2 linked regions of the Macaca mulatta genome follow. The protein of the gene in region 1 purifies or fractionates together with the protein of each later gene. This does not show direct contact. Links are inferred from orthologs where the notes say so. Each region holds a gene or a part of one and is shown on either strand. Other genes may lie near its edges.

What was found.
Region 2: the proteins of HECTD1 (region 1) and URGCP purify together in Homo sapiens (affinity purification with mass spectrometry; 4 studies listed by BioGRID and IntAct, with this or other methods). This does not show direct contact. The link is inferred for Macaca mulatta from reciprocal best matches to the Homo sapiens genes HECTD1 and URGCP.

The regions. Positions count from the first base shown.
Region 1 is NC_133412.1:104,252,389-104,256,212, reverse strand, and holds part of HECTD1 (E3 ubiquitin-protein ligase HECTD1), read left to right. Parts: intron 1-3,031; coding exon 3,032-3,824. UniProt on the Homo sapiens protein: E3 ubiquitin-protein ligase which accepts ubiquitin from an E2 ubiquitin-conjugating enzyme in the form of a thioester and then directly transfers the ubiquitin to targeted substrates.
Region 2 is NC_133408.1:84,482,490-84,485,524, reverse strand, and holds the end of URGCP (up-regulator of cell proliferation), read right to left. Parts: coding exon 1,566-3,035; 3' UTR 819-1,565; downstream 1-818. UniProt on the Homo sapiens protein: May be involved in cell cycle progression through the regulation of cyclin D1 expression. May participate in the development of hepatocellular carcinoma (HCC) by promoting hepatocellular growth and survival.

The sequences.
Region 1 (3,824 bases):
TGTTCCCTGGAGTGCAATGGTGTGATATCGGCTCACTGCAACCTCTGCCTCCCGGGTTCAAGCGATTCTCTTGCCTCAGTCTCCCAACTAGCTAGGATTACAAGCATGCGCCACCATGCCCGGCTAATTTTGTATTTTTAGTAGAGATGGGGTTTCTCCCTGTTGGTCAGGCTGGTCTCGATCTCCTGACCTCAGGTGATCCACCCGCCTCGGCCTCCCAAAAGTGCTGGGATTACAGGCATGAGCCACCACGCCCGGCAACTTACACCACATATTTAAAGAGCTAGAATAAATGTGAAAGTACTTAGGAGAATGACTGACATTTAATTTCATGTGTTATGTGGTAAAGACATTTATTTATTCAAATAAACCCTTTGATTATATTGCTTTTAAGTACTTAGGAGAATGACTGACATTTAATTTCATGTGTTATGTGGTAAAGACATTTATTTATTCAAATAAACCCTTTGATTATATTGCTTTTAAGATTCTATTTCTTGGATTATTTTACTGCCAGATGTTTTGATGTAGTATCAGGCCCTAATTGCAAATCATTTTAATCATACAGGTTTACAGTGACCTAAAATTCATAAATACCAGTAATAGTTGAGACATCAGTAGTACCATTCAACTCAGAAATTTCAAATTTTCTTGTTTTTTGGGCATCTTGATGATACTTATTAAAAAGTTGTTATTCTATTTCCTGTAATTGTTTTGGCCTTGATGTATGTGACTTGAGAAGAAGAGGCTAGTTAGAGGCGTGTGAATGCAGTTCTTTTTTCTCGGGATGGAGTCAACTGAAGCAATTGCATAGGGAAATTAGAATATTGTTTTTTCCCCCGAGATACAATGGCACAACAGTTTTAATACAACCACCAATCTTCACAAAATAATTTTAATACTTTGTGCCTGGACTAGCAGCATCTTGCACTGTGATATTCCTATACATACATAAGCATTTTATTGAAGTACAAATGTTAAAAGCAGAGTAACTTAAGCAATTGCCTATACAAAGGTAAATAGACACTGTAGGTTATTTTTCTTCTTGATTCATTTTTGCTGCATAGTAAGTTGCAATTACATTTCAGTATAATGTTACTGATCTATAAAATACATTTGAACTGTGAGGTATGGCATCTCCTTATGACAGAGTGCTCACATGTAAATCTGAATATTTTGAGTGTTTTTTTTTGTTTTATTTTGTTTTATCTGCCACAGATGGGAAAAACAGAAATCATGTAGCCTAGAAATTTCAGGGTTTAGCATTCAAGAAAGGCCTATTTTTGCTGATCTGACAAATGTAGAAATTTAGTTTTGGCTAATCAACATGGCCATTCCCATCAAGTTATGCCTTTAAGTCTCTATGTCAGAGAGGGTTCTTAGCTTTCAAATACTTAAGCCAACCATTTCTAATGATGGCTAGTCGTTACTGACTCTATTTTTTTTGTCTATCTTTTGGGCATAGAAGGAGTTGAGAGAGTATGTTTTTTGGGCCAATTAATACAATACAAAAGTTACTTTTATTTGAGATTGGGCTGTGTTTTTGAACCTTCTTCTTTTCTCACACATTTCTGTGTAGCAGAAGAGATAGTTAAATGTTGGTTCTTCAGAGATTATTTCAGCATACAGAAAACAATAGAGGCAATTGAAAAATCTCATCTAAGCTACTTATGTAGATTTGGGGCAGTCACTTTTCCTTTCAAAGAACACATATGCAGATAATCCCCACAGGTAATTCAATATTATTTCCCTCTGAGTGCCAGCATAAACATATGAACTTGGTGTATGTGTGGGTGGGCATCTGGGTGTGTGGATGGGTGTGTATGTGAACTTGGGCCCCTTTTATGTGTGGGTAAGAACTTTATAAAGGCTTGTTATAGTTTTAAAAAAATGTTTTTTGTGTCTTATGTTTTTCCCTGAAATAGTTAGCTTATAACACTAAAATAAGATTGTAAAATTTATATTAATTTTCTTTTAATAGACATTTTTTTTTTTTGCTTTTGGAGATTCATTACCTTTTTAAAAAAAGAATATTATTTTTCAACTACAAGTAAATATATAAATTGAATATCATTATGCTCATTAGTTCTGTACATGTTAGTAGCTTTAGCAGATAGTTTCTAATAAAAGAGCTCAGTATGCTCTTTAAATTTTTTTTTAGAATTTTCTGTGCTTATTCAAATTTATTGAACTTAATTATTTAACATAAGAGAACCAAGGAACCACTGAACTTTGAGAACACAACCGAAATGCTAACTTTAGTATTTTATTTGAGCTAGTGACCTAAAATTTCTGTGGTAATATATGAATATTTTGAGAGGTTAGCCAAAATTAATGGTAAGAAATTAATGGTAAGCTAGCACGTTTTTCTAGACAGAAAATTTGACTACACATAATTATACTTATTAATTTAAAAACTTTTACCTAGATTGTGTTTACTTGCAGAAGTGGCAGTATTTTACCACGTATATCAATCTTTTAAAATTTCTTAAACAGTTCTTCCATTTAAGAAGTAACCAAGCCAGGTGCAGTGGCTCACATCTGTAATCCCAGCTACTCAAGAGGCTGAGGTGGGAGGATCATTTAAGCCCAGGAGTTCAAGATTAGCATGGGCAACGCAAGACCTCATCTCTAAAAATCAAATAATTTTAAAAATGAAAAACAACCCAGTAGATTTAAACATGACCTTTACATTGCTTTTAAATGTCATAGACTGAATAGTTCAGAAATAAGGGAAATAAAAGGAAGAATTTTAAACATTTCCTGGAAACCCTTGTATACAGTACATATTTCTTGTCCTTAAAATATTTTTATCATGAGAGTTAAATATTATAGACTTTCAGATAACTAGTCATATAGTCAAATAATTGAGTCCAAAAATTTACATATATTTTAGTTGGCAGACCTTGATTGACTAGAAATTCAGAAAAGGACAGCACTGATGAAAAGCTGATCCCATATTGTGGAGCTACTGTCTGACACGCTCCTATCTGCTTTCTGCTGGGTCTCACAAACTCCTGTCCCTTTCCAGGCTGGATTGATGTCACCTGGGATGCTGGTGGCTCAAACTCTTACCGTATGGGCGCAGAAGGAAAATTTGACCTCAAGCTTGCACCAGGGTACGACCCTGATACAGTGGCATCACCCAAACCTGTTTCATCCACTGTTTCAGGCACAACGCAATCATGGAGCAGCTTGGTGAAAAACAACTGTCCAGACAAGACATCTGCTGCTGCAGGCTCCTCAAGTAGAAAAGGAAGCAGCAGTTCTGTGTGTAGCGTGGCCAGTAGCAGCGACATCAGCTTGGGTTCGACCAAAACGGAACGGAGATCAGAAATTGTAATGGAACACAGTATAGTTTCAGGAGCTGATGTCCATGAACCAATTGTTGTTCTTTCATCTGCTGAAAACGTCCCTCAAACAGAAGTAGGGTCGTCTTCCAGTGCAAGCACCAGCACCTTAACAGCGGAGACGGGAAGTGAAAATGCTGAAAGGAAGTTAGGCCCCGATAGTTCTGTTCGTACTCCTGGGGAGTCTAGTGCAATATCCATGGGAATTGTCAGTGTTAGTTCTCCTGATGTTAGTTCAGTATCTGAATTAACTAATAAAGAAGCAGCTTCACAACGACCTCTTAGCTCTTCAGCAAGTAACAGACTGTCAGTGAGTTCTTTGTTGGCTGCTGGGGCCCCTATGAGCTCTAGTGCAAGTGTACCTAACCTGTCCTCAAGAGAAACATCTAGCTTGGAGAGTTTTGTAAGGAGAGTGGCAAACATAGCACGGACTAATGCCACGAACAACATGAATCTAAGCCGAAGCAGCAGTGA
Region 2 (3,035 bases), on another chromosome or scaffold:
AGGGCTGGTGAGCTACCGAGAGCTAAAGGCTCCCTTGCTGTGTCTGGTGAAAGGAGGACAAGAAACATGGTAGGAGCTCTTGGGAAAGGGCTTGGTTTCTCTGAAGTCAAGAAACACAAAGAGAAAGAGGCTCCAACGTCTAAGCAAGGCCCAGGGGATCAAGCAGAGCTTCCTAGAGCTGATGAAAGGGCTGGGGTGGGGTTCTGAGGCCCAGTGAGGTGACACTGGCCCCTGGGAGGGGCCAGTGCAGGCAAGGATTCCAGCAGAACTGACAGGGCAGAAGTCCCAAGTTCTTGGCCAAGCCTCTGGTTCGAATGGTGGGTTGTGGATGAGGTCGGGGAGGATGTCAGAGGAGGCGCTGGCACTGACGTGGCTGCCCAGGGGTAAGCCCAGAAGCTATGGGAGTCTGGAGAGGGTGAGAGGAAGAGGTGCAGGGCTGAGTGTGACAGCACCACCCCTTATCCGCTCTAGCTCTGTCCATCCAGATGTGAGCTCTGGGGCAGGGGCTTACCTCCTCTAGGCTTCCTTTTCCTCAACTGTGAAATGGGGTGACAGTGGAAAGACCTCAGAGTTACTGTGAAGGTATTTAGTTTTAACCCCCAGTAACAGCCTGAAGAATGGCTCCTGCCTTAAAGAGAGAGAACAGGATGGCTTTTTACTAAAATGTGCCAGGATAGGGCACATCTCTACCCTATCTACCCTTCCAGATACTGCCTCTACCATACCCAGTCCTCAGATAGATGCTGCTCTCCTCTTTGAGAAACAGAATTAAGGCACAGAGAGGCAGAACCTGCCCATTACTATCACTTGTGCATTCATTCATTCAACAGACATTTATTAAGCATCTATAATGTGCCAGGCCCTGGGGACACAGAGCTGGAGAATGTACAGTCCCTGCCCTCAAGGAGCTCACAGTCTGGGGGACAGACATGTAAACACATGAGTTACAACGCGCTGCGTGAAGTGTGTGGCAGAGGTATAACAAAGTGCTGTGGGGCACAACAGAGCGACCAATGAACTCTTCCTGGGCAGGGGTCAGGGAAGCCTTCAGTCAATAAATACAGTGCCATGGGAGTGCCTTGTGCACCACGGGCACTCACATCTCAAATGCTGGTCCACTGGAGGCCCTTGGGCTGGGCGGGAGCAAGGCCTACTTCTGCTTCCTCAAGACAACTTCCCCACCTCTGTCCTGGGACCACCTGCCCGCCTGGGCCTGCAGTGACTGAGGACACTGCTCCCACTCCAGGGGCCAGTGACAGAGAGCAGCTATACAGAGGGCCCACCCCGTGGGATCCTTGACAGGAGCTGAGACAGAACAAACTGCTGCGTGTCTCCCTACCCTGGGGGTTGTGATATTCCTGGTAACATCTCTGAGCTGGTCTGTGAGGTCACTTCCTCTCTTAACACTGTTGAGGAGACTCCAAACCCTCTGTCTTTTGCTTGTCTTCTCATGTCGATTGGGCACCGGCCATTCTCAGGCACCAGGGCACAGCCCACACGGGTGCCCCATCAGACAGGGCTGCCCACAGCAGCCTCCTACACCTGAACTGGGTTTCTCTGCACACTCACAGCCGTCTCACCAGCTCAATGAGCTGCTGGATGTTTTTGTTTTGGTTCGACAGGCCGTTCCTGATGTTTTCGAGTAGGCATCTCTTCAATTCAAATATGGCTTCACTGTAGGCCAAGCTCACTGCGGCCATGGGAGGTGCTCCGTGCCACAGGCCAGGGATGTGCCAGATGTGCTGCTTCTCAGGGTCACAGAAGGCCAGGCCTGCCAGTGCCCGGAAGCCGTCGCTCTGTTTCTCCATCTGGGCTGCAGCCCTGCTCAGGTCACCAGGTGGATCTAGGAGCTGTCTCTTGTCTCTTGGCCTGGGGCCGGGAACAGATACATCATGAAGGTTCTGGTATACAAACTGGTAGTTGGGCATGTGCCCCGTTTTTTCTAACCTCAGAAATGCATGCAGAATAGCTGCTGGAATGTCCTTGGTTTCAGCTAGGCTGATCACGGTGACATTGCTCAGTCCCATGAGCAGAGTGGCCAAGGAAGCCTCCAGCTCAAACCTGTCCCCAGCTGAGGTCAAGGCCCCACCTATCAAGCCCCCAGAGTCTATCACCAGGATGTGGTCACAGCCCAGGTCCTGGCTGAAGCCCTCGGCCACTGTGATGAGCTGCATGAAGGCCCCTCGAGGACTGCAGCTCTTCCCTGTGGCAAACCGCAGCCCAAACATGGTGTTGAGGAGTGTGGACTTGCCCGTGCCCGGCACCCCGAGGGCTGACAGAACCACCAGCCTTGACCGTCTCTCCAGTCGGACGTGCAGCTCCTTCAGGAGCCCCGTGACCCAGCGGACGGGCATGCTCAGGGTGCTCCCATCGATTAGCTCCAGAGGCAGCCCTGTCAGCAGCAGCTCCGAGGCCAAGCCTGGGAAGTGGGCAAAACGCCTCTGGCCTGCTGGCAGCCTCCCCGCCTCCACAAGACAGCTCTCGGCCTCATAAAACTGTCCCATCTCCCGCAGGAAGTGTTCCACCCCCAGGGGCTCAGGCCAGAGCAGCTCCCCCAAGTCTGTGGCGCCCCCATGCTTTGGTCTCAGGGTGAGAAGTGTCTCCGGAGGCTGTCTCAGTCGTGGCTGGGCCACCCGTGCCAGGCCCCACTCCATCCACCTCAGGAAGTACTGCTTCTCACTCAAGGAGGGGCTGCTGATCCCCGAGATGAACTCCTGCACCCCCGAGGAGGGATCGTGGCTGTTCTGCTGCATTCGAAGTTCTAGCAGCCGCCGCCTCAGCTCAGCCCTGTGCTTCTCAGGGGGGTCCACGGCCCACTGGAGCTGGCAGAACTCCTTCTCCACTTGGGCTGCCTTTCTCCAGGGGTCCCCCTGCAGCCTCAGCTCATCCCTTCTGTAGGCATCCGAGTCTTTGATTTTCCTGGTAATCCTCTCCATCCGGTCTTTCGCTTTCTGACACTCCTCACAGTCCTCGTCAACCTTTAGGCCAAGCTTGCGGGCTGCGTGCGCCATGTCCTCCACAGATACCCGCCTGCA